Linked DNA regions of Saccharomyces cerevisiae S288C. The protein of the gene in region 3 binds, or shares a complex with, the protein of the main gene of each other region. Each region holds a gene or a part of one and is shown on either strand. Other genes may lie near its edges.

Region 1 (4,870 bases), on a different chromosome or scaffold from region 3:
TTTGGCGCAGATGTTGATTCAGGGTGTATGGGACGTTGATAATCCGTTGAGACAGATTCCACACTTCAACAACAAAATTTTGGAAAAATGTAAAGAAATTAACGTCGAGACGGTCTATGATATAATGGCCCTTGAGGATGAAGAGAGGGATGAAATTTTAACGCTTACTGATTCACAGCTTGCGCAGGTCGCCGCGTTTGTTAACAATTACCCCAACGTTGAACTTACTTATTCGTTGAATAATTCTGATTCGTTAATTTCAGGTGTAAAACAGAAAATTACCATTCAATTGACAAGAGATGTTGAACCTGAGAACTTACAAGTAACATCTGAAAAGTATCCGTTTGATAAGCTAGAAAGTTGGTGGTTGGTTTTAGGTGAAGTATCTAAAAAAGAGCTTTATGCGATCAAGAAAGTTACTTTAAATAAAGAGACTCAGCAATATGAATTGGAATTTGACACTCCGACATCTGGTAAACATAACTTAACAATTTGGTGTGTCTGTGATTCATATCTTGACGCAGATAAAGAGTTGTCCTTTGAAATAAATGTGAAATAAAATCATTGTTTAGTCCTGGATAATCGAATGGATTTCAATATATAACATTCTCTTGCGGCTATTTAATCTAATTGTGATATATACAGTTTATAGCAAAAGCGTATCATTGCATCACTGCATTTCTATATCTTCATCTTCATCTTCATCCTGTTCTCCTTCTTTGTTTTCGTTTTCAATAAATCCACCTTGATCTTTTCTGCTATTCTGGTGCTTTATTAAATCTTCATAACTCCAAACAGATACACCCTCTTGGTCTTTAGGGTCTGTGGGTTGTGCCATTGTTCTCAAGAATTGTTTGGTATTGGATATGGCCATGTCAGTCGAAAGGTTCAAATCGGCGTCAGACAAACCTTGAGCAATCCATTTTGGTAACTGGCTTCTTTTTCTTGAAAACCTACGGTCTGCTAGTACCATTACACCATAGTCGTCCTTCCCTCTCAGTACTCTCCCCAGACATTGAGCTGCATGTCTCATCGCATCGAAAGATAAGAAGTCGTTTTCTCTGATGCGATAGTTCTCCCTCATGAATTCTAGGCGAGCTTTCAAAATACGCGATTCTGTGTATTGAAACGGGATACCTATCATCAGCACAGTTCTGCCATATTGATGATCAAAATCGATACCTTCAGATACCTTTCCTCTAGCAACAGAAAGCAAAATTGCCCCACGCCCATTTGAGCAAGCCTTTCTATAGGTTTCTAAGGCTAAAGAAGTTTCTTGAGCATCAGGAGTCTCAACTAAAATTAATTTATGTTTCCAAACTTCGTCAAGAATACCCATTGTTTGCCACATTGAAACAATACTTTCCATATATAGATATGAGGGGAAAAAAACAACCATTCCATCAGGTGTGATCTTGGCAAACTCTACTAGCATAGAACCGTAATTACGAACAATACTAGGATCGTTTCTGATTTCAAATCTTGAAGAAATTGCAACTTGATCAGAACCCTTGGTAATAATCATTGGTAGAAATGATTTTTTGGCTAAGGTCATGGCATATGATTTTTGTAAAACAGTTTTAAAGTTTAACATTCTTGGATACATGTCTAATGGTGATATGGTCCCTGAAGTGATAATAACGGAAGAAAATCTCTCAAAGACTGGTTTGATGGCAATCGATGCATCTAAGCAAGTAAATCTCATAATCGGATTCGGAACTGCAGCATTTTCGATTTCATACGGTTCAATAATTAGTAAAAACCCTTCCTCATATGTTGATATAAGAGTAGCAAAAGTTGCTATGTCTTTCAATGCAGTAAAATCTTCTACCTCTGTAACTTCTAAAGTTCTTACAAGTAATGATAGCCTTTCTGAGCAAAACCGAAGAGGTTTCCTTTCTATGAAAGTTAACTGTTTTAAATGCTGTAGAAATGATTTTGGCGTTTCTGAAATAACGTGAAGAACTTTCATTCTGGTCTTCAGATATTCTATCAATCTTTTCAAAAATGAAACAAAATGCTCGGCTCTTCGTATATTTCCCGGGATTGCTTCTGTTAGAAGATCTTGGGGCAATACAGGTGTTTCCACAAATGGCTCTTCCTGGTCGGTAAGAATATCTGCAGAATGGAGACCTTGAACTAGTTTTTCGTATTCATCCTGTAATTTCTGTGAGTCAACCTTTCTGACCTCAGAAATACGTTCATCTAACGCATTAGCACCTCGTGTGGCTCTTCTCAATGCATCCGTTGTCAAGTCTAATGACAGCGATTCGATACACACATTATCAATATTGTGCGCTTCATCAAAAATGACAATGCTATCTTTAGAAACCTCGTTGGAAACTCTTTCAGCAATTTTAGGATCTAATAGATAATGGTAAGAATAAATAATAATGTTACAAAGAGAAATCATACGACGAACAATAAAATATGGACAAAGTGTTTTTTCTTCGCAGTATTTCAAAAGTTTTTCAAAAGAAAATACGCCTTTTGGAAGATAATCCTCTACTTCAATATTGTACAAATTCTCATGGTATTCACACAATTCTACATTTGCCTCTGGATCCTCTTCTAATTTTCTCTTCGCCTGCCCATTTGTCATTCTACGGCACTTTTCATCGACTACTGTACCTTTTCGTTCCTTACTCACTTCGGGATGCAAACACAAATTTTTTCTTGATGTCAAGCCAAGACCTCGAAAATCCTCTTGATAGCCTAGTTCTTTAGTTCTGTAATCCATAAGGTTCTCTAACTCTACTAAAGCTTTTTCAATTTCAGACATAGTACGAGAACAATATATGATCTTTCTATGTTCTGGGTAGTGCATCTGGTAGGCAATTGTGAGGGATAGTAATGAGACCGTTTTACCTGTTCCTGAAGGCATCTCCAAGATACTATTTCCACCTACATCCAGAGTCTTTTTAATATCGCACATATAATTATACTGCTCTGGATATATCTTGGGGTATGGAAAAAGCACTGGTAAATCATCTATATAAAACTTCATTGTTTCCAATCTTCTTAAAGTGTAGTCAAATCGGGCCGATTATCACCTTCAACCCAAGATGAAATATAGTATTTCTATGAATGGCTAACAGTACTTTGTCAACTTTAAGATATACATATATATATATTTATTTATTATTTACAGACCAGAGATTTCTTTTCAAAAGCTATGTAGCATAAAGTACGCTACTTTAATTTTTCATAAATTTCATATACATCGCTTAAATGCCGTCGGCCATGATTAATATAGGATTAACTCATATCATAAAGGCTATTCAGAATATTCAAAGTGAACTGTAATCATTTGGTTGACGAGATGCTGACTTCCAACTAGAGTCACGGTTTTTCAAAGTCTCGGGGAAGGTTAACATATACTTGCAGTTAGTGTAGCGTTAAATCACCCTATTAGCCGAATTTGCTGGTTATAAGGTTCAATAATTTCGGAAGATAATATCTGATGTTTCCCCAGAGACGGTACCAAAAATCCCACTTTTTTTGTAATAATCTTTTAAAGGCTCATTTGTTTTCTTGTACTCTTCTAGCCTTTTTTTAAACACTTCCGCTGTGTCATCAAGCCTCTTGGTCAATGGTTCTCCGGTGATATCGTCTAATCCTGGCACTTTGGGAGGATTATATTGTAAGTTATACACTCTCCCACTAGGAACGTGAACATATCTGTTCTCGATCCTTTCTAATATGGTGGATTCGGGTACATCTAGCTCTACCACTAGATTCAAGCTGGCGTCATGCTGTTTCAGCAGCTCGTCTAAGGCAGAAGCTTGCGCAGTAGTTCGAGGAAATCCATCGAGCAACCACATGGCAGATGGTTTTAACCAACCCAATGCCGAAAGACGAAAAGTTATCAGACGCGTTATGAGATCATCCGGTAATAACTTGCCTTGAGCAATGTAGGTAGTAGCCTCTCGGCCTAGGGTAGATTCAGATTTTATTTCCTGACGTAAAATGTCGCCTGACGAAATTGAAGATAATTGTGGAATTTGCTTTAGTAATCTCGAAGTCTGTGTCCCTTTACCTGACCCTGGAGCCCCCAATAATAAAAGTCGAAGAGGTTTGAGTAGATGTGTTATTTGTTTCGCGTCTGCTTTCATTGATGCTTGCTAACCCTGTTCCTGAAAATTTAAAGATTTACAAACAAATATATATACGTATATTATCCTTTTCTACACATGTGTATCTATATAATGATGGTTATTGTAATGGTATTTATTAGTGAATGTGGGTTTTCGCGAATTCCCGGCCGACCGAGCACATTTTAAGAGCCTTCAAAATGAGAGATCTCGGTAAACAACTGGCAATCGTGAGTCAGTTTAAAGGTGTACTCTGTTGATTAATGGCCGCTTTCCCGTCCTGCGGTTGCACTGTAGGGTTCATTATTGGAGCATCTACTGTTGTTTCGTTTGAAATACACGGTATTTTCTTATTCAAGTGCTGCAGAACGTGATCTCTCCTTTTAAATCTTTTGCCACATTTGGGACAAGAATGAGGTTTCTCACCAGAGTGGACGGATTTTTTGTGTCTTGTAAGATGGTGACCAGAAGAGAACTTTCTTTGGCATTCCTTACAAATATAAATCTTGTTCTTACCTGATAACACGATTTCTTCGGGCGCAAACTTAGAGTTTAATGGAGAAGAGCCTTGTTCTTTGTCCAGATCGTCATTTCGGCTTGTAAAAGAATCCTCTTGGCGAGTGGATGCAACCTTTGAAAGTATAAGATTTGATTTTGATGTCTCGACAGGAGATTCCTTTTTGAGTATTCTATTTGCTGTCTTGTGATTTGGTCTTTCAGGGTGCGGTGTTTTTATGTCGTTTGTGTCACTCAGTGGCCCGAGCACAGAAGTAGAG
Region 2 (3,561 bases), on a different chromosome or scaffold from region 3:
ATAACCGGTAAACTCGTAGGCATTAGTCAACACCGTCGCCTTCACAGAGTTAAACCACCTTACCCATATTTCTACATTCCTTTGAAGCCTAATCAAGGATGGCGAGATGGCGTGCCTTTTAAGGGCCCCCTCATCCTCATCATCGTACATGCTTGATTTGTGACGCGTCCTCTTTTGCAGATTCATATGATTCTTAATCGATATGGCGTTGGTTCTTAGTGCTTCTTGCCTAACACTTTTAAGATATTCAATGACATCAGGATTCACTGAAGAATCAGATAGTGCAAATGCACGAGATTGACCAAAGATGGCATCAGGCGCCTGGCTTTCTCCTCTTTTCATTGTTTATCACCTAATGTTTCTGTTATGATGGATGTTGGCAATGTTATTGTATGATACATTATCCAAAGCGAACTAATAAATCTACCGAAGCAACAACAGCGATGCACCCAGACAGTACATAGATAGTTATATTATCAAATTCGATATGATTGAAGTCAAAACAGTTCAAAGATGACACAACGTCTTAAGCTAATCACATCAAAAGCTTTTTTTTTTCTGTGGAATGTCCAATATACATGTGCTTAAAGCTAATTTTTTTTTATGTATTATTACGATGCATTGTGACGAAGGTTACCTGCTTGAAACGGATAATGTTCATTCCTTTCGTTCATGGTTTCGTCACCTTCTTTTTGGCTTTCAACCTTGGAACAACTGGTTTCCTCTTCAACTTGGCAATTACGTGCTCATCAAATTGAGAATCACAAGCAGGACATTTATTTCCGGGCGGTATGATTGATAAGACACATAGGCAAACTGAACAGATGAATCCAACGGCAACAACTCTCCCTGTTAAATAGCATGATGTCCTAAAATCTACAGATCCATGGTTTGGCTTAACAATTATAGGTCTTAACGACGGATCAATAAACATTGCAGTTGCTAAATATTGAATTAGCCCTTCTGTAGATTCAACATGTAAATAAACGCCATTTGTGGCATCCGTCGTTTGCTGTAAAAACGTGCTTTCCTTAGAACCACCAATCTTTACGACATCAATGGGACATTTCATTTTTGTTGCGGAAAAAATACAGTTCATTATAGGGATGTATTGGAAAATTTCATCTTTACTACTGCCACTCCCGCACGTAAGAACAAGTAGCCTTGATTTTAATGAGGTAGTTACTGACTCTTTTGATATTCTGTTTACATAAGTCAGCCCAGCTGACATGGCACCTGCTAGCGTGCTCCTTTGACTATTTTGTTCGATTTGTTTCTTTTCTAACTCAAATAGTTTATATATTTCTTCCACTAGCGTCTCATCAACGTTTCTAAAACGTCTATACATATCTGAGTTAATAATCTTAAGATCACTACGGGTTTTATTTTCAGATTCAGAGGCTTTTAGAGCAGATGTGCTCTCTGGGTATAAATATTTGATTCCCTGAGAGTATGCAGCAATGACTGCTACTTTGTTGGCGCTATTGAACGCTAAGTGAGCATTGAGAAATACTATCAATGCCTCTAAAACCTTTATTATACTTCCTTTCTCATTTCCTTCCTCATCAAAAGTTGTCCATAACTTTGGTGCAATTTCTATAATAACGGTAAGCAAAGATGGTGATTCTTCAGTAACCTGTTTTCTTGATCTAGCATGCTTAAACGTTGGATCAGATATTGCATCCATTTCTGATTGCTTCGCTTCAGTATATTTTATTGGATCGTGTATATTTCTACTCAAGTGTTGATTGATGTTGTAATGTTCCTTCAGGTATCTTTGAATTTCAACAGAACAAGACGAGCTGCGCGCTGAAAATAAAATAAAAGTGCAAGTGAAAAATATTGTAAAAATAAGGTAATTAAAAATATAGTTATTCGCTTATTATTGATCATTTTCATTCATTTATTTATCAAATTAATTTTACACAAACTAAAAATGTCATTTTTCGTTTGCAGTATGGACAGCATTCAATTTGCTTTTAAGTTTTCCAATCTTGGTGCGGGCTCCTTCTTTCGACTGCTCTTTTTCGAGGTTACTTAGTTTCTCCAAAGCTTCAGTGTACCTCTTATTGGAAGGTTTTATGGAACCCTTAGTTGAGCTAGTGCTTTGTCTCTTCAATTGACGATGCATTTCCTCGCTAAACTGCAGCCTCAATATGGTTTTCAAATCTTCGACAGAACAATGCGGTAATTCATTGTCTTTTATATATTCAAATAGTTCAGCTTCACTGGAGCCGCATAAAGAGTAAAAATTCATTGTGACGTTCATATTAATTTTTGATGGTTCAGAAGAAAGATTTCTATAGGCATGTTGTAAGACATTTACATTTCTCAACATTTTCTTTATCCCGTTATGGTTCAAAACTTTTATGGATTTGGCACCCTTAATCAAGGCGTAGTTGTTGACTATATCAAGACCAATAAATATGGAGTTTTTTTCCTTTTCTGGTAACTGTTGTTTCAATTTGCTTTCAGTCCTTCTTAATTCGGAAATTAGAGAAGCTATATTTTGATCTAATTCAATACTACCCACATCCATATTCCAAATTTTGGTGTTTTGAAAAAAAGACCCGATGTCGTATATACACAAGGCCCTAATGTTGAACCTCAGTATAGTGATTAGTTTGAATTTCAAGGTTTTGAATCCGTCGATAGTCTCATCAAATTTTTTGGAGGCTTTATCATCCAATAAAATTTTTAGATTTCCTAATGAATTTGGGCTGGAACTAGGGTTCGAATAGTTTAAATCCATTGATTCAGAAAATGTCCAGCTGCTCCTTAATCTATCAGCATCTAACATGGGTTCTTGGCTTACTTCATCAATATTGATAGCCTTTTTTAAGCCTGGCAGCCAGTTTAATATCCATAACACGCTTGCCGAAAACTGCAGAATTGTGTCCAATGTCAAGTTATTGAATAAATCAGATTTGCTCAAACCTTTACCCGCTTGATAGAAATGAGGTATTTCCTTAAATAACTCTATGGATTCTTCATGAAAGAGTGTCTCATCCCCATTCAGAATTTTTTGTTCTTGATCCATCAAAATACCATTCTGCAACCATGCCGTAATTATTTTCCTAGTTAAATGTCTATCAGAAGTACCAATCAAGGAATTAAATAGCCCCAAGTAGTAATTATAAAAATGATTCAAAAGATCTAGAATGCAGTACGATATTTTTTCTCTAAATGTGTTTGCTGTGTTGAAAACATTCAATAAATTGTAAAATAACCTTTGAAAATCTAATGCTGTTTTAAAAATGTTATGATTTTCATCGGATAGCTCTAAGGCGTACGGATTATTGGATTCTACTTCAACCGTGAATAAATAATCCATAGTCATCTGAATCTTTGGGAGAAAACTTTTATTCATATAATCATCGAAAAAGGTTAGGGATGAAATAGTATTTTGTGTTAAGACACTGGGAACAATTGTAGATGTCGATTGCGTAAACAGCAAAAACGGATCTAAAATTACCTTCATGTTGAAAACAGAAGGAGGGACTAGAGGCTCATCTTGTTCGAAGGATTCATCTTTTACATAAATAGAGTCTAAATCCATGT
Region 3 (2,646 bases):
TTTTTTCCCGTATAATTCCAATATATCAGCGCATCTTGCTGATATTTTCTGTTCTATAACAATTTAATAAGGGCTGACAAACAAAAGTAATCACTTCGACAAGTACAAAATGGGTCTATTTAATAACTTCAAGTTTAAATATACAAGGGCGCAACTGGAGATCTTTAGATTTTCATTTTGTTTGCTAGCACCTGTTGCTGTAATGTACTATATTGGTACAGATACTGATAAAAAATTAAATGTTCCAGGGTTTTGGCCAGATCCTGCAACGTTGAACCAAATACCAAAAGAGCCTTATGAGATTAAAGCTGAACTGGCAAGGATGAAAAAAGAACGTTTAGAGAAAAGGCTTAGGTTGGAGAAAAAGATACAAGAGGAGTTTGGTTTAGACCTTGAGGAGGAAAAAGAAAAAATTAAACGGGATTTGGCTCTCAAAAAAGGATGAGAAAAGAAAACGGTTAAAGATGTATACTTGCACCTGACCACTTTTTCTTCCTTATATTTATTATTCTAACATGTACATACCTGTATAGTCGTATTTCCACTAGATCATCACTTCCCCTCTATATTCATGTCTGACCTGGTTATGCAGGTCATGCTCTATTCAAATAGTATTGAAAAAGCTGAATGAGCAATAATTACTGATTTTCTTCTTCATCCATAGGATTATATATATTCTTAGATAATAGCCTATTTAGCTCATGCTTAACAAATTCGACTTTCGAGGGATTTACTAAAAGATGGGTGTCATCCAACTCCTCTAGTACTATATCACTCATCTTGGCGTCAATTTGTAATATGAGCGCCTTGATGGATGGATCACATTGAACCAGTGCACCCTTTCTTGCTCTAGCCATTTTTTCGTTCTTTTACAAAAGTATCTTGGCTTTGTCTCTATTGGGAGTACACTTCTATCTTACTGCAGTTTGCTCGTCTTTTTTCAATAATACGATACAAAAGAAAAATTAAAAGGGCTATTGAGACTGTTGTAAAATATATATGCAAAATAAAAAAGCATTTTAACGAAGAGTATATACCTACTATTAGACATTAATGACTACAGATAATCATCAGAATGATTCTGTTTTGGATCAACAATCAGGCGAACGAACAATTGATGAGAGTAATTCCATCTCTGACGAGAATAATGTTGATAATAAGAGGGAAGACGTTAATGTAACTTCACCAACAAAAAGTGTTAGTTGCATATCACAAGCGGAAAATGGAGTAGCTTCTCGAACAGATGAGAGTACAATAACAGGAAGTGCGACGGATGCAGAAACAGGTGATGATGATGATGATGATGATGATGACGATGATGAAGATGAGGATGACGAAGATGAGCCCCCCTTATTGAAGTACACACGAATTAGTCAACTCCCGAAGAACTTTTTTCAACGAGACTCGATCTCTTCATGTTTATTTGGTGATACTTTTTTTGCATTTGGTACACACTCAGGCATTCTACACTTAACTACATGCGCGTTCGAACCCATTAAAACCATCAAATGCCATAGATCTTCGATACTTTGTATTAACACTGACGGAAAATATTTTGCTACGGGATCTATTGACGGGACAGTGATTATCGGATCGATGGATGATCCACAAAACATTACACAATACGATTTCAAAAGACCTATAAACTCTGTAGCGTTGCACTCAAATTTTCAAGCATCCAGAATGTTTGTTTCTGGTGGAATGGCTGGCGACGTTGTACTATCTCAGAGAAATTGGCTAGGAAATAGAATCGACATCGTTTTAAACAAGAAGAAAAAGAAAAAAACAAGAAAAGATGACCTATCCTCTGATATGAAGGGCCCTATCATGGGAATTTATACTATGGGTGACCTTATATTATGGATGGATGATGATGGAATAACATTTTGCGATGTTCCTACAAGATCACAGCTTTTGAATATTCCATTCCCCTCCAGAATTTTTAACGTACAGGATGTAAGGCCAGATCTATTTAGACCCCATGTTCATTTTTTAGAAAGTGATCGTGTCGTTATCGGATGGGGATCTAATATTTGGCTATTTAAAGTTTCCTTTACCAAGGATTCAAATTCGATCAAATCCGGTGACTCTAATTCTCAAAGTAATAATATGAGTCATTTTAACCCTACGACAAACATCGGATCTCTCTTGTCTAGTGCTGCATCGAGTTTTAGAGGGACACCTGATAAGAAAGTTGAATTAGAATGCCATTTTACTGTGTCAATGTTGATTACAGGGCTTGCATCGTTTAAGGATGATCAGTTATTATGCCTAGGTTTTGATATAGATATTGAAGAGGAAGCAACCATAGATGAAGATATGAAGGAGGGGAAGAATTTTAGCAAGCGGCCAGAAAACTTATTAGCCAAAGGGAATGCTCCAGAATTAAAAATTGTTGATCTTTTTAATGGTGATGAAATCTATAATGATGAAGTTATCATGAAAAACTATGAAAAATTGTCTATAAATGATTATCACCTCGGTAAACATATAGATAAAACAACACCAGAATACTATTTGATAAGTTCCAACGATGCCATCAGGGTTCAAGAGTTATCATTGAAGGATCATTTCGATTGGTTTATGGAAAGAAAGCAATATTATAAAGCTTGGAAAATCGGTAAATATGTAATTGGATCAGAAGAG

Evidence for each region.
Region 1: TFB5 (region 3) and RAD3 share a complex: the UniProt entries of both Saccharomyces cerevisiae proteins name them as parts of the 7-subunit TFIIH core complex.
Region 2: TFB5 (region 3) and TFB4 share a complex: the UniProt entries of both Saccharomyces cerevisiae proteins name them as parts of the 7-subunit TFIIH core complex.

The regions. Positions count from the first base shown.
Region 1 is NC_001137.3:525,219-530,088, reverse strand, and holds RAD3 (TFIIH/NER complex ATP-dependent 5'-3' DNA helicase subunit RAD3), read right to left. Parts: upstream 3,008-4,870; coding exon 671-3,007; downstream 1-670. Other genes in the region: ATP-dependent RNA helicase BRR2, read left to right, coding at 1-559; adenylate kinase ADK2, read right to left, coding at 3,438-4,115; RPH1 (Rph1p), read right to left, coding at 4,330-4,870. UniProt on the Saccharomyces cerevisiae protein: ATP-dependent 5'-3' DNA helicase.
Region 2 is NC_001148.4:669,252-672,812, reverse strand, and holds TFB4 (TFIIH/NER complex subunit TFB4), read right to left. Parts: upstream 1,688-3,561; coding exon 671-1,687; downstream 1-670. Other genes in the region: BRR1 (Brr1p), read right to left, coding at 1-342; exocyst subunit SEC8, read right to left, coding at 1,940-3,561. UniProt on the Saccharomyces cerevisiae protein: Component of the general transcription and DNA repair factor IIH (TFIIH) core complex, which is involved in general and transcription-coupled nucleotide excision repair (NER) of damaged DNA and, when complexed to TFIIK, in RNA transcription by RNA polymerase II.
Region 3 is NC_001136.10:602,955-605,600, forward strand, and holds TFB5 (TFIIH complex subunit TFB5), read right to left. Parts: upstream 858-2,646; coding exon 639-857; downstream 1-638. Other genes in the region: PET100 (Pet100p), read left to right, coding at 110-445; VPS41 (Vps41p), read left to right, coding at 1,054-2,646. UniProt on the Saccharomyces cerevisiae protein: Component of the general transcription and DNA repair factor IIH (TFIIH) core complex, which is involved in general and transcription-coupled nucleotide excision repair (NER) of damaged DNA and, when complexed to TFIIK, in RNA transcription by RNA polymerase II.